3 linked regions of the Drosophila melanogaster genome follow. Changing the gene in region 1 together with any one later gene gives a genetic interaction. Each region holds a gene or a part of one and is shown on either strand. Other genes may lie near its edges.

Region 1 (8,049 bases):
GAGTCTTGTGACAGATTGTGGACTAACTTGCGGAGGTCCTTATTGAATTTTCTACGAACTTTGGCGATATAACAGCTAGACGCCCCTTTTCTCGTTCCCCACCCCTAAATACCATTGCGTGGCCGTGTGAAGTCTTGCGGACAGACGATAAGAAGAACGACGCTTTTTTATGTCAGCACAAAAGCAACTGTTGCCGCACACACACTGGCTGTATGTAATAGCCATCTGGATTGGGTATTTTTCATCATCTTAAATCTAAATTGGTGGTGGTGGAAGAAATGGGAGAGGTGGTATGTCGTTTCTTTGGTGAGTGGGAAGCTATTAGCCTTCTTTCTTCTTAATTGTATAAGCTAAATACTAAAGCTCGTTATGGGCCGCGTTTTCATTAAAACATTACGCGTTAAGCCGAAAAAAGCTTGTTTGGCCAAAAACGTCAGTTTTAAGCAAGAGTCTATACTATAGCTGAGTTCCTCGACTCTTAGGTTCCCGTTACTAGATATGCAAAAGGAAAGGCGGCAGTTATATTGTTAACAGGGCCACTTAATACATTTCATATCAGATATTTTCGTTGACGGTGGTAACAGATAGATAAGATTTTGTACTCAAATGAGCGAATTGAGAATTAAGTAAATACATACATATGCTTTTATATAACTATTGTAGCTAATCTTTTCGCCCACCCAGCCATCTGTCCGATTCTACTCATATGCTATGTTTGTTATCGCGGTACTCACAAAACAGTCAGAAAGAACTCTATAGTGCCTATATCTTAATATACCCTTGGAGACATTTTGCCCGCAAATGTATTATTGATACCCGCCTACCCAGACTTCCATCCCGTTAACAGCATATATATGTAAGTACATGTATTCCAGATCTCGATCACTTACTGAATCGACGACCTAGCCAATCTCCAAACGAAGAGTTTTTTATTGGCGATTCTTGCTATTATTAATATATGGGTGTCGAAACCCTCGGAGGCGGTCTGCATCTGAAGCAGACTAAGCCGAAACGGAACAACTTTTTGCTCCACGAGCATGTGCCGTGTCGTTGGCACGTGCCACGTGGCGATTGCTTGGGCTGCGTTCCATCCTCAGCACCAGTGCGAAGATAATATGATGATAGCAGGGCTGATTCAGCTTCCTGCGGGGGACATACTTTCATGTGCTACCATGTAGCCTAATAAAAACATTTGTTTCCTCCACCTTTAGGCGTTTTATGATGTAATCTGTGCATATTAAATCTTGAATATTATAAAGGGATATGGCAATCGGATCAAATGAAAATGATTCAGTCTTACCTGTAATAATAAAAATTACATGTGCGAAAGTAAGTTCAAACATTTTATAGTCAATGAAACGCCCAGTAAGTTAAGTATTTAGAACAGTTGCGCGCCTAACATTCTCACATATATTCAGATATCGATCGTGCGTGCATTTTATTCATAAAAATGTCAACGGGCTTGGTTAAATTGTTTAGTGATTGCTAATGTTTTTAAAATATGTCAAATATTTCAACCCCAATTCTTTCAGATTTGCTACAAATTTCGACAGAACAAAATTAAATATTATAAATACAATGTAGAACTATTGCAAGGGTACATTAAAAACATTCTGGAAGTGACTTAGAAGTAATATGCATTATTATTACATTTCACTTTTCAGAAGTCATAAGGACGTTATAAACCGTGTGAGAAGAACTCTTCGCATTGGAGAGCCCAATTGTATTGGAAACAGAAAAATTGGCCGGATATTGCTGTTGAATTTTGTGAATTGCACTTAAATCGACATTATCCCATACAGTCGTGTAGGTGCGCTATAGTTTTTTAATATTTCTCTAGAGGATTTTGAAACATGGCCTTTTAGCCATAACACTGGCCGTCCCTTTCAGGCTATTGGCAACTCGTTCTCTCGCTGTGCGGCGCAAAAGCAGGACAGGAACTTCCTCTTTGGGGCCCACCCAGCCTCCACATGTGACGACAGCTTATGGGATGGTGGCTGGTGGGTGTGACCGTGCTTAGGCTTGTCGACATTTTACTAAACAACCGTACGCCCACACCCAGCTCCCCTCGATATGGCTGTGTGTGTAGGCTCGCACTGCCGAAGCGGAAACGTGCGGGTAGTTAACGGAAATGTGAAGCGCTTATTGTATCGGAATGAAACAATTCCATTGGACGAGTGTGCTGCTGGCAACTTGTCTGGCCAGCTTGAATTCAAATGGAATGCAACATGTGTGTAATTGCTGGGGGGGGGGGGGGTGTGGCACTGGGCGACTTCTCGAAAGGCGGTGAAAGCGGCAGGCGCTGCACCGTTTACACACAGTTTCTTGCTGGAAGGAACAACATCCAGTTCCAGACCAGCACTTTCATGTCTGTTCAGGACCAAACCATTCCATTATGTGCTGCTGGTCCGTCTAGAGTTGGTTCTTCCTTTATTTTCAGATTCCGTTGCCACGATATGCTTAACGACACAACGCAGCTGCAGAACTGCACCGTGCCGAATCGCTTTCATCTTCCGCCAACTAACCTTACACGGGTGCGAGAGGGACAACTGGTGTGCTTCAACAACCAATCATGGGGCTAGCCTATAGCAAATGGTGGTGAGTGGACCAGCCATGCTGGTCTTTGCCAATCGCACGCGGTTCCGTGGCAACAAACCCAGCCTTTTGCGCAGGGGGGTGCTGGCCAGCCGAGGGTCGGCCTAGTCTGTTTCTGAAACGGATCCGGGTAGGCAGGTCGTGACATTATTATTTCGTGTTGCGCTTCTAAGGTAAATACTGTTCCGCCGCCGTGTCGCGAAGTTTAAGAAAGGTTGTTCGATTCACCGTGCGTATTAATCTTTATATCAAATGAAATTACCGGCTAAGTTAGCAATCGGTAGACCCGGGAATAATACGTGTTACGTGCAGTACAAATATGATGCTAACATGAGTGCAATCAAAAGTGGCGTTCGAAAAATGAACAAGTGAACTAAAACAAAAGCGGCTGCTCAGTTATATTTGTGTTTCCGAATTCGTAACTCTTAGGTCCTCACGGCGCGATCAACAATAGGTTTTTTGATCACTGCAGGACGTCATTCTCACCATCTGCGCAAATTTACTCTTAACTCTTGCTTGACTCGCCCTGCAAGAGTTCGCACGGCGTGCGTTTGGCTGAACACAGCAGTCTCTTGGCTAAAGCTTTCATGAGCAGTGCATGTAATAAAAACTGAGATCCAACTATGTTTACATTGCAACCAACTCCAACTGCTATAGGCACCGTGGTTCCCCCATGGTCAGCGGGAACATTGATAGAGCGCCTGCCGTCTTTAGAAGACATGGCTCACAAGGGTAAGTGAATTTTTTAAATTTCTTGATTGGCATCATCGTCTTTATCCGACCCTCTTATAAATATATATGAGTCTTAGCCAACACATATGTTAATGCTGCCCATGGGCAGTTGATCCGGTCCTACTAGGCGAGTGCAGTTTCGTTCGGCTGTTGGTCTCTTTTGGCGCAGTTTACCAATAGATAAAAAGCTTCTGAACTGAATCGTTTGCGAACTCTTCTCTCAAACTCAAACTCCCGAGAGTAAGACGGCTTTATACTCCGTATAAATTGTCCAAATCAAAGATATTCAAATCTTCGCCGTGACTCTTATAATTCGAAAAACCTATATTTGTATTATACCCGTAGCTTGTTGCTAATTTGTATTTAAAGTAGTTAGTGGAAGGAAGAGTTCCCGGCTAGTCGATTTTCCGATGACCGTTGGCATGTCTGTCCGTCAGTATTGACGTCGAGACCTTTGGAAGCGAAATAAGTAGGAATTATGCAAATTCCAGTAATGCATACGCAGCTTAATTTTATATTAAACCATTGTCACTCACTCACATTGTAAATTACAACGCAAAGGCGTTTAATGATCAATGGCGTTCCTACGGGCGTATCTCATGCTATCCCGCGCGTATATGATTATTGAGTACTTCATACTAGCTGACTCTTTCGTTTTATACAAATTTGTATACTCGTTACTCATAGATTAAAGGGTTATTAGATTTTTTAAATTTAAAGTATATATATTCTTGATCATGGTCAATCGGTCAATCTAGCCATGTCCGTCTAGCCATGTCCGTCTGCATGGACGTCGAGTTCTTAGGAACTATAAGAGCCAAAAGATTGCAATTTCTCGTTCACACATGCAGCCCAATTACGGGTATTTGATAGTCAATAAACCGGACTATAGCTCTCTTTCTCCTGTTTTAGCTCATAACGCTAACTGAAAAAGATTAAGCGCCTCCTTCTAAAAGCCCCATAAACGGCCCAAGTAGTCTATGGTATATATTCGTTCATACTGGGAACTTTTTAAACTAGTTCTTTTAAGTAATAGCTTAGGTCAAAAGTGATATTCTAGTTGAATTCTTTAACCATTTGGTTGTATACCTAGCTATGATTTATCCGTTTGTATTCTTCACGACTACCTTCTGCACGCAAGTTGCGAAGTCTTTTCCTGCAAGGTTTAAAACTATGCGGCTTACTGCTGAAATCGAAATTAGTTTGATTACTTTTAATACATTTTTTTGCACTTTTATCTCGCAATAAAATGATAACCCAAATACATAGCTTATGTTTTTGGGTTTCAGTTTAATTAAAACAATTAGGTAATCCTGATTTTTCAATTCGTTGCAGGTATAATATATTACAAAAAATAATTCGAATCGAACTATGACCTGAAATTTTATATTGCCAAAAAAAGTAGAGTATACCGAATTTAATTAATACATATAACTGATATATGTAAGAAAATATGTAACTAACAATGTAATGAAATAATTCTAATTCCTATGCAATCTGGCTCAACTTCTTAACTGAAATAAGAGAAAATGTTATAGTAGAGTTTCTCGATCAAACACAGGTCTAATTTAAAATTTGCAGTATTTTAGTTCCCGAATTCAGAGTGTTTAATAATGCATGTTCTTTAGAGACTAGGACAAAAAATCTGCAGAGTGTTCGGCAACTTTTGCAGTAGATTTCAGATTATAGATAGATTACAAAGAGAATAAATAAAACAAAAGAGAATGCTTTAGTCGAGTTCCGACTATCAGATACCCTTCACTTCGCTAGTGGGAATGCAAACGGAATGCAAATATATATGCGGGAATAAAATGAGAAAATATTTAAAAATGGTTTGAAAGTGTGGGTGTGGCAGTTTAGGGCGGTTTTAGTGCGTTTGAGTGGGTATTCTGTATTCTGTATGCCTCTGTATGAGATCTGGACGTTCATACGGACGGACATGGCCAGAATGACTTAGCTTTGATCCTGATCAAAAATATATATACTTTATGTGGTCGAAACGCTTCCTTCTACCTGTTACACACTTTTGAACGAATCTAGTATACCCTTTTACTCTACAAGTACTAGTACTTAAAATATGTTACATTTTTATAAACACTTAAGCAAGTTCAAAGTTGGTTCAAATTTAAAGATCTATTCCACTATTATTATAAATGAATTCCAAGTACAAACTGACTTCTTGATACGAATTTTACTCCTTTGATTTTCTTTTTTATAGACAATGTGATTGCAATGAGAAATTTACCCTGTTTGGGTACCGCTGGTGGTAGCGGACTAGGCGGTATTGCTGGGAAACCTTCCCCTACTATGGAAGCCGTGGAAGCCAGCACAGCGTCACATCCCCATTCGACATCTTCATACTTCGCCACAACTTACTACCATTTAACCGATGATGAATGTACGTTTTAATAAATAACGCATAGCTAAACCCCTCCCGCTTTCACTCGATTTCAGATAGCCCCGATTATAATACTATTATATCACATTCACCAATAGATTAAAATTTATACACACAGACCGTCTTTACATAAACTAAATATGAATACACCATTAATAGATTTTATTGAGTCTAACCGATCCATAAGCTTTGCAAATTTAGTGTGTAATCGCAGTTTCTTGCACTAAATACCAGTTAGGATAGATAACAGATATGTATTTTGATTCTGCCCTATGTTGGGGGCTACTATAAACTTCAAATCGACTTTGGTGTTCTGTTTCTAAAAACATTACCGAGAGTAGTTTGGCGTTCAGAAAATGTCCAAGGACATTTTTGTATTCATAGTTCACTTTATTTATTTCTAACATCTATTAATACACCGCAAGTATTATAAATTAAGAGCTTGTTATTCGTTATATTATCAAAAGCTTTTTAATAACAACAGAAATGGTTTTACCGTACGACGAACCTTAGTTTATAGATATACAATTCACTTTTAGAGAAAAAGTGTGTAACACGAAGAAGGTGGATTTTCCGAACCAATAAAGTATTTACATTCTTGATCAGAATGTTCGTCCGTATACGCGATTAGATATCGGAAACTAAAAAACCTAAATGTTTTATCCAGTTATATTAAGACTTAAAGAACAGCTCTTTTACTGATATAGGATGAGGTGAATAATTATAGTATTTCCAATTTATTATAATTTTCCACTGCAAAATCACTAGGTATACCTATTTCATAGCTCGACCCGAGAAGATTAAGGAAACATTTCAAAATACTTGTATGAAGACATCGCGCTAATTTTTTTGTATTGCTAAACATGTGTCACGAAGATTTGTTATTGGTGTGAAAACAGCTCAATGTCTGGGTAAGCCCAAAGCATACAGCTGAATGGAATGGCATTGTTCAGTAGCTGACTCCAAATCTCGCACATGCTGCCAATTATAGTGGCACAATGGGTAGAGGTGATCATCGGTGACAATTGGGATCGGCATAGACTTTCAAGACGGTGATGAGTCAAACAATAATTTACGAATTGCGGAGTAGATTATAGGCATTCCTCAAATCCCTTTTCTAAACGTAACCTCATCCCGGGCCCGTCGAGCTGTTAAGTACTCTCTGTCAGGTCACCCTATTGTAGTGCCCGTGAATCAATACAATAATTTTCCAGCTTTAATGATCTTGAAGTGTGTGTTCGTTGTCGACGACCGTTTCGTGTAAAGTCGCTACAAATGGAAACAATTAATGGCTCTGAAAGCCGAAGTCGAGTAAATACAAACACACACAATGCACTCAAAAATGCCAAATGAGCCTCTTTAGCGGCTGCCGGGAACCGACGCATATTGGCATTGTATCCGTGGTCTTTGTAGACTCACCCCGCTGTTCTGTCCATTTTCGCATGCGAGGAAAATCAGTCCCTGCCCCTGAATGGATGGACCAGTCCCCTAGAGGGTCCATCTCCAGTTCCCGTTTCCAGGGCTTTGTCTTTCTTCCCATCGGATTTGTGCAGCAATTACATTATTAATCCCACTGGCAAGATGTTTTTGTAAATTGTGTATCCTGTCACACTGCAAATCACATTTTTGAAAAGCAATCCAATTTCGGAGTCCCTGCACTAATACCGCAAATACTCTCGCCATGGCCGCTTTCCTGAATAATATGAACGTGTTCAGGCCGATCTCACGTTAAAGATGACTTGTTGGGGCGCTCAATTGAATCCAAAACACAGTGTTTGGAATTATCTGTGTAGGAATCTTAACTTGTTTGAAATCAAGGTAAAAGGGCTCGCCAGAGGTTTTCCGCTTTGATTCTGAATACAGAAAGATCATTTGGATTATAACTAAGTCAGATGATGGCTTACATGAACGGATTAAGACAAGGAATAGCAATAGTCGAAATTCTCGACTATCAGATACCCGCTACTTTGCTGCTTCAGCTAACAAGAAATTTCAAAACAAAACGATTTTGTTAAACCGATATAAATATGCAAAACTAATAATAAAACGAAAAAATAGGAAAATATAAGAGTGGGCATTAGAGTGGTCGTCGCAAAGTTCTCTTGCATCTGTATGTTTTTTTTGTGTGTTTAAGTTACCGTGACATCCGTAAATATTGTGGGAATATTTGGCCACAATCGTGTACACGGAAAATGCCAAGGACTAATATGTATGTCACATCTCTAGCTTTCATACTCACCGAGATCGGGGCGTTCATACGGACGGACGGACATCGCTAACTTGACTCGGTTATATTTTATTTTTGCTGTTACATACTGTTCAAC
Region 2 (8,396 bases), on another chromosome or scaffold:
AAGGTAGCAGATACTTTGTAAGGAGGATCAAGGGATTCAGTTCATTAAGTTCTCTTCACTTATTCCATTGGAATTAGAGCTCTTAATGAATAATGATTTAAATGATTGTGAATAGTGCCATCTCACTTATAACCTAGCCATCTTTAACCAACTAGTTGTTTTTGGGTGAAAAGTATCTGGGCAAGGGTGTGCAAAGATTCGGTTAGGAAACTCATCTTGCTGCTCGCGATTCCGACTTCTCCGCCTGTCGCATTCGGTTCGCACAAGTGCAGTAGCAAAAATGTTAACAATTTTTCAGCGCACAATGCTTGAACAGTCAGCGCCTGGTGGTTTGGGTCGGGTTGTCGGTTAGAATGGGTCTGGAACCCCCTCTCCGCTGCCCACGGAGGCCGCGTTGAGGACGCCCCTGTCTGCCGCCTGGCGCTGTCGAAGTCTTGTCTGGCCGTCGCATATGAACGGCTTTTAATTTCATATTTTTTATATGGCCATACTTGGTGTTTCGTATCGCCAGTGCGCCTTTTTGTCTCATCTCTGGGGCTTTTGCTGTGCCGCCGCTGCTTAATAACACGATGACTACACGAAACCGCGGAGCCAAAAACTCGAACCTCAAATTCGAGTTGGGATCCGCGGATCTGGGGATCTGGGGATCTGGGGATCGGGGATCGGCGGATCTGCGGATAGAGTGCGGATGGAGTTGTAATGGCCGCGTATCCGTGGCTGCTGCCGCTTTACAAGCGAAATAATCGCCATCATTTTAACTAATGACCCGCTCGCATCTGGTTTTTATTCGTATTTGTATACTACTTATTTTATTTTGTTTGGCGGCGATGCCATACGCTTGGCGCTTTGTGCAGATTCATTCAATTTGAGACGAGACCGCTGCCGAAGCTGCTCCTAACTTAATAAACACGGCTCTTTGGATGGGATCTCGGAGCTCTCGGCTCTGGGATGTGTTGGTGTGTTGCTGTGGGGCTGCCAGGTTTCCGAGGAATGCCAAATGTTGTCTCGATTTCTTTTACTTTTCCTTTTTCCTCTTTGCTCTTTTTGTGAGCAGGTAGAACTTGAAATATTTGCGCATCTGCAGGAGCAGCCAAACACTTGAGTGGACTACGATTTCGACTCCAGATCTGCGACTCCAGTCCAGTCCAGTGCAGCTCCGACTCCGAATCCGGATTTCTTGCAGTGTCATTCCACTTAACTTGCCTTCTTTCACTTCGAGCGGATCTTCTTCATTTCAACTTCGCGCGAATTGGTCGAGTTTTAACTTCTCCTGCCCATTTTCGCAAGCGGTTGCACCTTTCCAGCTGAAGCATGAGCTGCATTTACACTGTCATCATCGTCATGAACCATCGCTATCATGATCGTCATCTCTGTTCGTTGTCTCCTTCACCATTACGTCCAGGCCAAGATCCATACCCATACCAATACTCATACCCATAACCAAGCCCAAACCCATCGTCATCGTCGGCGGTCAGTTTAATGTGGCCAAAAAGCGACGACCGCAACAAACAGCAGAAATCGAGAACGCTTCACTGGGTGCCGCCACCGCTGCCGCAGATCGGCACGGATCAATGAAATGGAAACGCTCCTGTGCGACCCCCCCACGGCATCCAACTCGTCCACCTCACCCACTGCACCCACTCTCCGGAGGATGATATCCGCTTACCCGGCCCCGATCGGGTTACCAGCCCATCCAGGGCCCAGACCCCAGACCCGTCTAACTCCCAACTCCAATGGCTAATTGAAGCGGTCCATGGTCGATAACTTACCGATTCTTGGCCGCAGCAGCCCGATCCCGCTGGCGGCGGTTCTTGAACCAGTTGCCCACTTGCGTGGGATTCAGGCCGGTGGCCTTGGCCAGCTCCCGCTTCTTGGTGGGATTCGGGTAGGGATCCTGTAGGTACCATTCGCGCAGTAGGCTCCGCGTGCGCTCCTTGAAGCAGTGCGTCTTCTGCTCGCCATCCCAGATCGTCGGCGGCAGGGGGAACTTCTTTCGCACCCGATACTTGTCCACGGGGCCTGCAAGTTTCAATTGCAATTGGATTAATTAAAATAATTTTAATTTTTGTCTAATTTTACAGTAGTTTTGTTTGAACAAATGCTGGCAATAGCTTTCTGAAATTTTCATTAGGGAGTTTGAAACTCCTCGCTCTAAAAACAATTGTCTTGATTGCTACAATTCATTAGAGATTTTTTTACATCAACTATTTGTGTACTGATTATTCGATTTCATTCAAGTTTTTTCTAAAAGGATCGTTTTAAACAGCGAGTTTAAAGTGTGTCTATTATATATTCAAAAACAATTGTATTGCTTTATTTGTTACTTGGATTGTAAATATCATCGTAAAATATCAAAGAAATATTACAAGTAACAATTATGAAAAATATTTGTAAAACTGGTTTGAACATCTTAAAGTAAAATATACGAGCGTAAATTTCTGAATATGTTATTACATAATCATTACATAATTAAGCACTGAAAAACTGGTCTATACCCAATACATACAGTTAGAGAATTAGCTAAATATCAAAAATTGTTCAAACACTTTGAATCGATGTTCAGTGACGACTTTTTAAGTATCGAATTTAAAGTAAGCTCTGTTTTAGTCATTTAACTGAGTCAATAATACAATTAGAATTATAAATAATCTGTTAATCCTTCTTATTACTATGATCGGATTTTCTAAAACACGTTTAGTATTTATTCGACCGCTTTTCAATGCATTTGAAATAACAAATATGTGTAATCAATATGCTTAATGAAAACATTTCGTGGTGTTATAGTAAAACTTAAACTTGTATTTCTACGTTTGTGTTTGAAATTCCCTCATATTTTTTTCAGCATTTTATCACGACATCTATCTTGGAAGTGAATGCCTTACTCACCCAGTGATCGACCGCGCAGCTTCTCGGCCTCAATGTAGTGGGCCTCCAGCCACATGGCCTGCAGTTTGCCGTAGGACGCCTTAGTAAACTTATGATTCTCTATTATTGCATAAAGTTCCCTGAAAAGAGGTGGTCCAGTGTGAGTGTTAGTATCCGGAGTTGAGCTTAAAGTTAATGCGCTGAATTTGCCATCACGATTTCAACCCCATCAACCACCCCTGGGTCCTTTGGACTTTTGGGACACTTGGGACTTCCCGCTGCGAAAGCCATCCCCGCCTCCGAGTTTCTACACCCCTCGACACTCGACGCTCGACAGGCGTCCATATGTATTTTGAAACAATTTCATAAGCATTTATTGTCGTCACTGGTGCTGACAGCTCGGTTGAGTACGTCAAATGGTTTTAATTGGAAGTCGTTTATTTACCAAGTCAAAGCAATCAAATCACTTGCATAGCATCGCCAGATCCGTAAGAGTATATGCACGAACAGGCCATATATGTACTGTATCTGGACATTGATTGATTATACTCGAATTACACGGCCGTGTGCTCGAGCTGCAGTCAGATGAGATGCAAAACCTGATGCAACCGTTTATAGTTGTGATTGCCTGAGCCGATCGGATAATTGTCGATATCGATTGCCAGGGGACCTGTTTTGCCCACTTCGAGACGCGGCAAATGGCCGATTCGTCTAGGCGAAGATCACAAGGCTAAGTCTATCTCGGAGATACCATGGGTAAGCTAATCTTTCGTCATCGTTTGCGAGGGCCTATTGCAAAATTCACCATTCGAGCGAATTGTTTCCGGTTGTCTTAGAAGCCCCCGTGAAATGTGAGAACTTAGAATGTCGTGGCGACGGAAGCCGAAACCCCGATCCTGGCGTGGAACCTATTGTTCGGTCGGTGTTTTATTAATCAAGCCTGCTCCACTTGGCTTTGGGCAGCAGCGAGTTCTTTAATTAGTAAATTAATGCCATTGTTTATTAATTTAGCGGCTCATTGTGCCCTCATTAAGCTGTCGCTGTGCAAAACTATCGGATGTCGGTTGTCGGGGTTAATCAGGACAGGAGGCTGGGACTCTGGCTGACTGGTTTTCTGTTTTTTTTTTTGGTTTTTGGTTTTCTGATCTTCCCAGAGAGTGTCATTCAAGCAGGGGGCTTTTGTGTGTGGCGGATTCCTACCTGAAGTTGCCCACATGGTAGGCGACCACTGCGCGGGCACGGAGCACCGCCTCGCAGTTGAGGATCTCGTGCATGTTGGGCAGGGCCACCGGCAGGCTCCAGAGGAAGCGGGCCAACCGCTCGATGTCGCCGGAGTCCTCGAGCGTCTTGCAAACGATCTCCACCTGGGCGGCGGAGAAGGCCAGCGTTGGAACGGCCAGGATGGGGCTGGGTGCTATAATCTGGTGGTGCGTGGGCGAGAAGCTCTCTGAGGGCGGCTGTTTGCCCTCCGTCGGTCCAACGGCCATTTTATTCGTTGAATCCACTGTGAACAAATTGGCATACTATTCTCCACCGGAACGAAGCAATCTTGCTGGGCACTACACTGGTTTAGTCACTAATTCAATTCCTTGGCTGTTATTCGTTTTTTTTTTTTTTTTTTTTGATGTGTTCACTAGCACTTGGGTGGCTTGATCCGACTCGATTCAGTCCGCCTCGATAAGGTTTTACTGATTGGTTTGGGGTTAGCACTTTGCACGCGCGATCGAGGGCATCTGGCCGTCTGGATGTGTGAGGTGGCCACCGGTTCGACTGGCGTACGAATCCAAATGATTGCCAATGAGCCAGCTCATGAATGCGATACCCGTGCCCGGACCACGAACGGAGCGCAACTGCTGCTCCACATCGAGGCGATAAAGGGGGCCTTTGGCAATGGATATAACCGATGCGGTTCGGTGTGGTGCGATACGATCCAGCGAGCGAGAGAGCGACCAACCAAACGGCCAACCGAGCGCGCAAAAAATACGTCAAATAATGGTCTTGTAACTGAGCTGCCCACTAGGCGACGGGAACGGCACAGAAGCTATACACGCTATAGAGGCTATAGAAGCTATGGCAATGGAGCTCAATCGGCAGAGGCAGCAGCAGCGGCAGTAGCGGCAGTAGCAGCACAACAATGACGCGCCACAGATACAGATACTCTGGCTGGCGGCTCGGCTCAGCTCTCCGGCTGCCACTGCTACTGCTTGCCAGCTGCAGACACGGATACAGATAAAGATACAGCTACAGATACAGATACAGCTGCGGACACAGATACGGGCCGAGATATGGAAACAGAAACGAGTTGGCACCAATACCAGGCCACAACCAGTTTGCCGCACACACAGATAAAGATACGCGAACAGATGCGGATACGGATACTACGACGCACCACCATACCATAGGCACCACTACCACGGGGTGGGCGTGGTCGTCACTGCTCGTTGACGTACGTACGTCTCGCTCTGGCACACGGCCATGCAATGGCGCCACTCTCGACAGCTGTCTCCTTTTCTCCTTTATGCGGTGGTGGCATCGCCTTCATGGGTCTCGTTTAAATGAATCGTACATAAGAGTCGCACGTACACTGGTGCACAGCAACTAATACTGTTGCAGTTCCAGTTCCAGGATAACAACGGCTCGTTGAATAGGGGTTACGAACGTTGTGGCGGCAGTAGTAGGGCTGGGTAACGCCACCGAGGGGGTGAGCTGCAGGCACGGCAGCTCAGATATTGATAAAGAAATCAAATAAAACAACCCGGCAGAACGCAGCAGCCGGGCAGCCGAGCACAGCCGCACAGTGGGGCGAGATCAGCTGGATTATGTTTATATGCCGTGGAAAATTCGAGGGTCTTTATTTACTAAAGATATTCTGTCAAGTCATTGATCACAAGCACGATACAAGTTGGAAGAAAGAATTGCCAGAGTCAAGATCGCACGGTTATATGAATGTTTTTCAATATATCAAGTTGTTTATACACACGCACTTCAGTAAATGCTTATTTTGGCCTTGTAGATTTTCATAAACCGTAACATTTATAGGTCATGTTGTTAAAAACGCTTTCTTTTGTATCTGTATATTTCTTATAAACCTAATTCGCTTATTTGTTAACAACATAACTTAAGAGAGGTAGCACATACGAAAAAAAAGTTACAAATTAACTGATCTAACTTAGTCGAAACTTGGATCCGCTTTTCATTGATTTCGCATCACGGTAAGTGAAGCATATTGTATAAGTGTAGCAAAATGTTTGACACCATGTGGTCTGGCAACCTCTGCCGCCGCTCCTTCCTCTGCCCTTCTCTTCCCATGCCATTTCCCCCTTTCTGAAGCCCCTACTCTCGCTCACTGTAAGCCATATCCTTGTGCCAGGACGAACCTCCAGCCCTCTCATCCGCCATTTATATGCACATATATATGACCAAGGAGAAAATCACGTTTTCATTTTGGCAAAGGGAACTTTTGATTATGCCCGTCGAATGGGGCAAAATATTCACGAGCAAAAGTTTTTATTGTGGCGCTGTCAGTAGTGTTGGTTGTCGGGTCTTGGTGCTTCATCATGCTCCGTGTTTGACAGGATCCGGAAATAGCCAGGAGGAGGAGGGGATGGCTTGGAGGTGGGCGGTGTTCGGCGCGGACAGGGCACACGCTAATGTATCGTTCGCGCTTTTGTCCGGAGTGTTAACAGATTAGTTGTTTACATGCCACAAGTAAATGAGTTTTCCAAAAGTGTAGCCGCGGGCTTCAAACGTACCGCCACCCCGTGAGACAGCCCACCACCCCCCGGCCACCCTAACCAATACAACCAATGTAAAATCTCATGCACACATACTTACACACATACACATACATATATGCATGTACATCGTGAAAACACAAGCACACGAACATCGCCATTGCTACCTCGCTCTCGCTCTACCTCTTGTCTCTTTCCCTCCCCAACCCAATCCCCTACCAAACTAACCCCCTCCCCCCTCTCAACCAACCTTGTTAAATCTGAACGATGACTTTTTGAGTAGTTGGTTGAACATTTTGGACAATTGCATTACGTGAACGACAAACGCTGCGCGTATGGATGTGAATGGGTAAGTGACGTCGGCCACACAGATATATACATACATACTGAGATACGGATACAGATACAGGTTCGCACCAAGATACAGCCTGGCAGATGCTGGATGATAGCGCACGCTCCGCTACAGCTCCAGCACCAGCTCCCACATGGCCACATTATGTGCTGCCACGGCCGATGTCCTCTGAATACGCTCATTATAGTATCGATCACCTTTCATGCGCCACAATTGAGGATGGAGTAAGAGATACAATCGCATCATGGCCAAGCCGCTGCAGATACATGCTGAAATGCAAATGTAATACCGAAAGGGCCGCGGGGCACACATTTTGAGCAGCGATATAAGTTCAAAACATGGGAGTAGAAAAATTACAGCTGTTAAGGACGTAAAAGGAATATATAGGAATATAGGTAGATATTTTAAAGATATGTATTTTAAAGCCACTTTCGAAAGACCATGAAACTGAAAACGAAATTAACATAACTTTGTTGTAAATTATTAGAAAATCATGTTTGAGCTCATCTTAAATAAAATCAGAAATATTACGTAATAACTCTCAAAATAGAAATGAAAGGAATTTATTCCTTATGACTACATTTGAGATAGGTAAGGGAATATTCAAATGAAGGACTGCATTTCGATGTTTTATGAACGGCCAATAAACATTTGAGTGATTTTCGAAAGGGAGAACGTCGAGTAGCTCATGTTTCCGGGGATCAATCAGTTGAACAAACATCTTCGAATCGGCGTGCCCCAGCTATTCTCTTCTTCTTTCTTCTGAAGGCCAGAAAGCAATTGCAATCCCATTTGAATTGCCTAACGAAGCGCGGATTTTCGTTCATTTGGGGGTTCACTTGGAGCACGCCGTATAATGTCATATTGTTGACAATTTCGCTTGCGGTGCTAATCAAAATATCCAACTTCGGGAGGATGAGCAACTTCCCCGTGGTGAGTGACTGAGTGAGTGAGTGAGTGGCTCCGGCTAACTGTGTCACTGGCGCAATCAAATCACACGCCCAGTGGTCCATTAAATGACAAAATTTGCGCACCAAGGCGCCAGGAGAGCCGTTGAAAGAGCGAGCGGTGGTGTAATTAGGCCAAATACGCATACCGTTAGGGCCGCTCGAATTCGCTTTGCGAAAACAATTAAAAGGCAATTAAATACCATTTCTGATGCGCGCTTGGCCAGGCTTTAAAGGCTTTCCACTCGCCACACACAAAAGGCAACCGCAAACAACAAAGGGACCACCGCACACGGCTGCCTCTCCAATGGGGAGCCCGCGGCCAGAAAGAAAATCTCTATTATTGCAGTCTAGTGTGCTCCCTGCCACCCACAAATGTATGTATGAATATATGTATGTTGGAGTTACGACGGGAATTGCCATCCGGCCGAAAATATAATCTAAATGTACCATGTACTCGCCTTTTTAGTTTCGGGTTTTCCACCCTCGGGCGAGCGG
Region 3 (8,401 bases), on another chromosome or scaffold:
TTTTGCACTTTTTAGCTGGCATATCCTTTCGACTTCCGCCATTCGAGGCTCGCCCAATTTCCGTTTCGAGTTTAATTAATTTAATAAACAAATTCTTTTCGCTCTAAAAACTCTCAAGTGTATCGATACGATGCGTTTCTTTTTTTCCTTCGTTAAATAAATAATAACCAAAAAAAAAAAAAACCAAAAAGTAGGAGGAGAAAAGTTATTGCCATAGTTTTTTTATTATACTTGTGTGTTTACCTTTCTGGTGGCTTGATCGATAGGCATCTGCAATTAAAAAGAGAAGAAGAAGAGACAAGTGAGGCAAAATTGTTAAACGTTTTGTGTAAGCTTTAATACGAAAAACAAGTACTGCAACATAACGGAAGGAAACACGGCTTAAATTCGGGGCACAAATGCTGAAAGGGAAGTTTTTCATTGACGGGTTCGTTCTGACGGACTTGCATTTTGGCGGGCAAGCGGGTGTGAAAATGCACACGCCCCGAGAACCCCCCTTTCCACCCCCCCTGGACCCCTTTATCCAGCCCACTGGCCAAAAACAATTTGTAATTATCCACAGAGAGCGCTGCCTTCAGCGGTTTCGCATTTCCCCTTTCGCTCGCTCTCCCAACTTGTTTCAATTTAGCGCAAAACTTTTTCAACCTAATAATAGGTTTAACCGCATTTTTAACCGTTCCTCATGTTCGGTCCGGTTCGGTTTTCAAAACCGGGAATCGTACTTAGACTGGGTCTCCTTATTTCTGTTCTGGCTCTCTGTACAACTTTTCATTGAGAAAAATGTAACTAGTTTTTCATAGCAACGGAATACAATTTAATCCAATAATCCAATAGTTTAATCCAATACAAATGATATTACTACCATTTCTATTTTCGTTAATTTCGATTTGACTTATTTGGCTGGATTTACTTTTCAAAATATATGTTATCAATAAGACACAAACCTTACTTTTCTAGCTATTAACATAGTTTAAAAAAAAAAAAAAACTAATAAAAATTACGTGAATCTAAATTTTTAAACCCGATATCCAAGAAGATCTCAATTTTTGCCTGTGTACTCAGTTCTCTGAACAAAGCGCATGTGCACTTTGGAGCACACTCCATACATGTGGCTCAGCCCTTTTCCATAATTAACTAGATGGTTTTCCATCGACTTCATTGTGGTCAGCGGCCAGTTCAACCCGTTCTTCACTGCAACCGAGAACTGTAAACACAAAAACCCCAGGACTCTACATTGGCTTAAAAAAATAAGAACAGAACAGAACCAAAACCAAAAAAAGAAGGGATATTGAAATACAAGGTTGTAATCGTTTCGACTGTTGATGTCTCAATGCATGGGCAGTTCAGTTAGTAAATGTTTTTCAAAATCTTTCAGGCAGGAGATGTTTAAATATCCATGAAATATTTGGATCTCCTGGGGATCAATCGGAATATTAGCCTTTAATTGTGTTGATCTTTTAAGCCTTTTTGTATCTAATCTAAGCCATTCGATCTAATCACAATTTATAAATATCTGCATATTTCTGTATAAGTCTGCATCATTTGACGTAACTCTTTAAGTCTTTTGGCTTAAGTTGCAACTATAAGGAAGTATTTATTTTAGAGACACAAATATTTCAGTCGCCTTCATTTGAACAAATCGGCGAAAATTGGCTAGCTCGCCAAACTTTCTGTAACCAAGGACAATGGTTTTATTTTAAACCATTAAAAACTTTAGACCCACTAGCTCCTAGATCCCCCTCAAAAGATTTAAAAAAAAAAAACACGATACCCATTTCTACTGAACTTCGTTTTTGCTTGTCGTTTTTTCCACTCGAACGGAAATGAGCTGACAGCGCACCGCACACGTCGATTGCAGAAAAACATCGGATAAAACAGGAGGAAAAGTTGTGCAAGGTGGAAAACTGTTTTACCAACTATTGTTAGAGGCGTTCAAAAGAATTACGCAGCTTTCGGTTAGTTAGCAAGGGGTCACCGGGGAGCGTTACGTTTGCATTGCGTATTTCCGCTAAATGTCATCGGAAAAGGCAAACGGCGAAATGCGAAACGAAAGTTTTTTGATTGCCCGTGTTAATCGATATCGATGCACAAACTATTTGCATTGCAACCGTTGCAAGAATATGCAAGAAGTTGGGGGCGGCCGCGGCAGGGGGTGGAAGTTGAGTGCGTAAGTTGGCTAAAGCGGAAACAGGAAATGAGAAAATTTTGCAGAGCAAACCCCGAACTGGAAATGCAACTAACTGGGCACATGCACTTTGCGAAATCATTGGATAGCGTTAAGAAATTTATTTTAAAATTGTAACTAACATTTAATCGTATTCAAAAGCAATTAAATCCCAATCCAATTCTTATATAAAATCCTTACAAGATTATTCTATTTACTGTAAATCTAAGCAAAAACTCCCTTTGCAAAATATTCGCCTGCACAGCACAGATCAGTGAAATAATCAAATGAAGTCTTGAAATAACGAAAAACCCCCAATTGCGTGTGGAACTGCCCCCAATGCTTTTGCTTCGGTTTCGTACCTGGCCGTGGTGCAGTCCCTGTAGAGGATGTCGAAGTCCTTGCAGCAGAGCAACTTGCAGCGATTGACGCCCGGCTGGATGGCGCCCAAGCCGCGTAATATGCGCACCTGTTCCACATTGCAGACGAGCGGTACGATGTCAAGGCGCTTTAGTTTGGTATAAACCGTATGCAGACCGCCGACCAAGTGCTTCAGGAAGAGCTCGAAGGCCTGCGGCAGGCAGAGCATCGTTTCGTTGCTAATTATGAATGCGGCGACCTTCTGACCCCGGTACTCCACCAGCTTGCACTCATTGGCACTGGGATCCGAGGTGGAGATCGGCGGCGGTGAGTTGTACGACCTTGGCGGCACATGGTGATGGGCGGCGGCCATCAGTTCCAAGGGGGAGGCATGGTGCATCATCTGCAGGGAGTTGAGGAGCCCCAGCGAATGGGGCGGCAGTCCATGGGGCATTCTGGGCGGTAGGCCCGTCGGCAGTCCGTTGCCCGATGGCATTCCATGTGGCGGGGGGCTGAGCTGATGGTGTTGCTGCTGCTGCTGTTGCTGCTGCTGTTGTTGCTGCTGTTGCTGCATCTGCTGCATCATGGAGTGGTTGAGGGAGCTCACCGGACTGACGGCACTGGGATGGCGACTTGGTGAACTGGCCGGTGAGCAACTGGATCCTCGTCCTGTGTGCGAGCTCCGTCCATTTGGACGATCCTCGTTGGCTCCACGCGAACTGTTGCTACCGTCGCGTCCATTGTGCTGCTGCTGTTGCTGCTGGGCTGCTGCGGCTGCCGCTGCTGCGGCTGCCTGCTGCTGCTGCTGGTGATGCATCAACATGGCGGTGGTGTTCATATTGCCCGCGGCTCTTTCAATACCACTATTAATATTGTTATTTATTGCGCCCGCTTTATTGTTGTTATTTTCACTCTGTTCACTTGTCACAGAATCCATACTTCATCATGGCCGACACTTTTGTTTATTTACTTTTTAATCGATTCGTTAATTTGACGTTTTTTCTATCGTGACAAAAATTTGACACAAAGTAAGGGAGAAATAGAAAATAGATGGTGAGAGGAAGATAAATAATTAATGAACTCTTAATTCATTTTTAATTATTTATTAGGCTTCTATATGCAAATTCTAAGTGAGCGTGTCTCGTATATTCCTATCCGCTTATTATTGGCTTTACATTTTTAATACTTCTGTAAGTTTTATAACATCAAATTTAAATGCAGACCTTCAAAAAATTTACAAACGATTTAGGATTTGTATTAGGCTCAGCTATGCTCCTATTTATTAAAATCTATTTTTGAGCCAGTTTAGTTAGTTATATGGTAGCTACAAGTTTATATTGCTAAATATTTTTTGTAAATTAATATCCTAACAAACATTTTACTTACAAAGAAATATAGAGAACTAACAGAAAATAGAAAAGTTTCCTTTCAGACATTTAAAGTCCGATTATCTTCTAATACCCCCCATAAATAATCCTTTATCAACAGAACTATTGCTTTGCAAACTTTGCTTTAATTAAGTTTTGGGAAAAACAAGGCAATGAAGCTAATTTGGATCCTTACTGCCAATTTGCATAAATATACCTATTGTCAGCTTTATTTGAATAATTCGATATAGAACATAGATTTACCTTTAAGGAGGTCTAAAAGTAATTTATAAACTCAACATCACTGACACAAGACACTCGCGCACTTTGCTTTTTGAATTTCGCTGTGAAATATATACTCTGAATATTTCAAGTTATTTATTCCGATTGCCCGCTTGTGTTAATCGAGTTCGAATAACCGTTTTCGTACTGGAATTTTGGAAACCGGAGCTGTGTCCGTTTTCGAGTACCGTACCGACGGATTGTCACTCAGAGATTGAGAGATGGCAGCTACTCCGCTGCGACGGCGACGGTGGCGTCGCTGCCTCTGCTTCTTCGCCTTCGACTGGTTCCTCTTCCCCCTCTCGTTCGGAGAAATCAACGAAACGAATTGCATTCGAATGGGAATCGACTGAGAGCGAGACGGCGCGAGGCGACGACTGCGAGTGAGCGAGTGAGCGGGCGCTAACGAGTGCTATTTTTTTAGCCCACCCACACACACGTACGTACGTACGTACACACGAAGCGCTACCGTTATGTACTGAGAGAAATGCGCGCGCAAAAGTTTTATTGCATTACCTTCTCTTGCGAATGACAAATTCGTAATGAAAGGCGAGTTTCAATTCGATTCCTTTCGGATTTTCGTGGCAGCGACGCCGGCAGCGCGGTCGGCCGAGACGAGTGTGCTTGTATGTGTGTGTCTGTGCCTGTGAGAGCGAGCTGGTGTATCTGTATCTGCGATTGTGCAAAACCAGAATACGAATACGAGTACGAATACGAATGTCTGTTGCCCGTCCACGTCTCGCATTACACCAATACCAGGCCAAAAAGGGGAGTGGTATGTGCGATTGATCGGTGTGTTTGCATCTGTGTATATTTCTGTGTGCAACCCCGAAAATACAATGACAAACGTAATCGCTCTCTCTCTCTTGCATTCGTTTTATTTATTTTTTCAATTCGTTTGTGCGTGTTGTGTTCTTCAAATCCTCCCGCTCTCTCTCTTTGGAAAAAAAAACGTTTTTCATTTCAATTTCATTTCGTTTCAGTCTGAGCCCTCTCTCTCACACCATCTCGCCATCTCTGTCGCACGCTCAGGTGGGCTGCAACCAATAAACACGAGCGAGCGAGAAAGCAGCATATTTGCATAGCCAGTCGTACATGTTTGCGCTCTCGCTCGCCCCCATGGGCGACGCCTTATATAAACAAATGACAATTGTTTTGGCATTTTGTGTTGCAAAGTAAATTATAATAAATGCATTGCCAGAGAAGAAAAGTAAAAAAAAATAGCTTTACTTCGAGTTTGCGCAGCTGTCTTTGACAAAAAGCATTTTAATTTCAATTAAAAGTAAATGACAAACTTTCAACGAATTATACTTTTCGGGGCAGTGTTGCTATCTCTTTCCGTCCCAAGCTTTGATTTTTTTTGTCAACCGTTTTCCGTTTCCCATTCGTTTCCATTCGAGTCCCGTTTATTTGTATTTCTTTTTGTGTTGCTGATTCGGAGGAGAGCAGCACTATGGCAGGGCATCTTTCTTCCACTTACACATATTGCGATAATGGGGTTTTTTTTCGCCTGAGGGGCGTTCGTTTTTCGGGTTCTTATAAATAGCATTGCTTATAAATTCTGGCATCGCACCTTTGCCACCTCTATATGTTTATGTACAATGTATCTGAGAGCTCGGTCATTTTTCTATTATTTGTCTTCGTTTCGCCTTCTGCGATTCTTCTCCATAACGATTGCCATTCCGTCGCCGAACCAATCGCATTCCGTTCTCTCCATTTGAGAGTTCCATGTACATATTTCTTTCTATATGGGAATGGAATACGTCTTTATGTATTGTGTTTGCACATGACGTATGAATTTTTCTTGTTCGTTTCGTTTGGGGCTTTTCTTTTGTGGATTTCCTCACCCACTGTCTTTTAGGTGACAGCAACCATTTAATATTAAATTGATTGCAAATGTGGATTTCCAACAGCTTTTAGAAAATATTTTCGGGCTTTAAAGAAGAATTTAAAACACAATAATTATTGTAATGTAAATATTTTATTTTTACATCGGTTTGTTTCATTAAAAAATAGTTATAAGATTATATTAGATATGAAAATTAATATGTAACGCTACTTTTTTTCTAAACTGTGACATTTTAGGCTATTTTTTCTTTTACCATTTCCTTATGTCATATGAATTTCATTTAATTATGACATATACATGAATCGCTGGCTTTAAATTCGAATAAGTACATTAAATTTACCAAAAATGACATGCAGAATTAAAAAGTATTCATTCAAACAAATTTGTTTTCCCCCCATAAATGGACAACAAAAAGGTACTGCCTCTATCATCCAAGTGTCAAAATATGTCATAGCAACCAACTATCGTCAGTAAGAAATGAGTTCTACAACATGCAACTTTTTCATGGTGTCGCAACTGTGGGCGGGAAGTTTGATTTTTCGCAACAAACAGCTCGCTTTGAACTCTGGTTTTTCTCTTTAATAAATGCAACTGATCTAACTATTAAGTAAAATTGTATTTTTTATTAACCACAAGCAAGCGCAAAGATGAGTTTATATTCTAAAAAAAAGGAGGGTGATTAATTTCTATTAGTTTGGATTACAAATTTGGACTAGGAGTCAATTTGAAAGTCGTTATATCAATAATACTTCTGGACTTTGAAGCGACAGTTACTGTTCCATAACTTCGGATTATCAGCTTTGCCTTCACCACATATATAGAGTATTCTCTGGATGTGTCGAGATTTGTATTTTTAAACGACGACTGGATGGCAAAAGTTCAGTGCGCTCGCAGCTATTATGTGGATTATCTGCCTCTTGCTGGTGCCCCTTGTGGCGGCCAGTTCCAATACAAGACTTCTAAATGGCATCCTAAGTCATGTGGACAAGGAAGCCAATCCCTGTGAGAACTACTACAACCACGCCTGCGGCCAGTACAACATGCGTCACATCGACGACACCTTCTTCGACATTATACAAATGCTGGATCACCAGGTTAACCAGAACTTGGTGAAACTAATGGACGAGCTGGAAATGAGTTCTCAATTGCCGGACTTTAATGTATCTAGTGTAGATGGCAAGGTCCTTCGTTACTACCTTAGTTGTCGTGGAGCGCCGCGGAATATGGATAGTTTAAGCCAGTATCTGAAAGTGATTTCCCCCGGCGAAGGACTCACATGGCCTCAATTCATTCCGGACGGTAGTTCTTGGCCCCAGGAGAATTTCAAATGGCTCAAGGCACTGGCTCATCTGCATCGCTACGGTCTAACTAACGTGTTTTTTAACCTTGAAGTCGTGTCAAACCCACGAAATGCCAGCGAGTACATGGTAGAATTAAATACACCCACTTTTGGAGAAGAATCTCAACTGCCGAACAGTTTTATTGAAATTCTATCCGTTCTCTATATCATAAAGGTTCCTTCCAGTGAAATCATTACTCTGGCGCGAAAAATGCGAACGCTTGAATTGTTGCTTAAAACGATGATCAATCCGATCGACACACTGAATAATAGATACATTAGTATCCGCGATTTTCAGATGGAAACCGGTCACAACTGGCAGCGTTTCTTTGAGATTTTAATAGGCTCCAGCGCAGCCCCAGAACTCCAAGTGTTGGTGCGCAATTTTAGGTACTTTACCGCCCTTAAGGAACTAATGGACAAACAGGATGCTCGGCTGGTGGCCAGCTACATAATGACCCGATTTGCAATATTTCTATTGGATGAAACCATGGGTGGCAGAGAATCCACGGAGTGTGTGTCACAGGTGCGCCGCAACATGAATTTGGCTGCAAACATGCTCTATAAGGAACGATTTTTCGAAGACTCCACTTTCAGTGCCAATATCCTGGAAATTAAGGACATTTTCGAGAAACTACGCCATCAGTTTCTGCTGCAAGTCGATCAAAATCATCTAGAGTTGACTGCTTTGCAGATGAAATTTTTCGTTCGAAAGGCAGAGGCAATTGAGATCAACGTTGTGAATCTTCCAAAAACCGATGATCTTCGCCATTTCATCGGCCAGTACTACCAAGACTTGCAGTTTCCCACTGGCGAGCTGGATTACCATCAGGAGCACCTCAAGGTGCTGCAGTTTCGCACCCAAAAGATGTTGGCCCAATCCAGCAAAGGGCACTCAGAGGAGCAGAATATTTTGACTTACAGGAGCCAAGCGGCGCCATTGCCTCCACCTCGTACTATGTGATGCGCCCCAATGTGATTATTGTCCCCCTTGGGCTACTGCAAGAGCCATTCTTTCAGCTGGAAAGCGAAGATGTCTT

Evidence for each region. Genes that interact genetically often act in the same process or in processes that back each other up.
Region 2: of ey (region 1) and Optix, changing one enhances a phenotype caused by changing the other (phenotypic enhancement), as found in Drosophila melanogaster (one study listed by BioGRID).
Region 3: of ey (region 1) and dac, changing one enhances a phenotype caused by changing the other (phenotypic enhancement), as found in Drosophila melanogaster (2 studies listed by BioGRID).

Annotation. Positions count from the first base shown.
Region 1 is NC_004353.4:701,947-709,995, forward strand, and holds the start of ey (eyeless), read left to right. Parts: upstream 1-2,704; 5' UTR 2,705-3,218; coding exon 3,219-3,327; intron 3,328-5,482; exon of another isoform or gene 5,483-5,545; coding exon 5,546-5,725; intron 5,726-8,049. UniProt on the Drosophila melanogaster protein: Involved in eye morphogenesis.
Region 2 is NT_033778.4:8,027,914-8,036,309, reverse strand, and holds the start of Optix (optix), read right to left. Parts: upstream 4,718-8,396; 5' UTR 4,353-4,717; coding exon 4,066-4,352; intron 3,006-4,065; coding exon 2,887-3,005; intron 2,020-2,886; coding exon 1,770-2,019; intron 1-1,769. UniProt on the Drosophila melanogaster protein: May be involved in head or eye development; development of the clypeolabrum and several head sensory organs.
Region 3 is NT_033779.5:16,481,282-16,489,682, forward strand, and holds the start of dac (dachshund), read right to left. Parts: upstream 4,718-8,401; 5' UTR 4,156-4,717; intron 3,527-4,155; 5' UTR 3,462-3,526; coding exon 2,527-3,461; intron 271-2,526; coding exon 244-270; intron 1-243. Other genes in the region: Nepl8 (Neprilysin-like 8), read left to right, coding at 6,922-8,314, 8,368-8,401.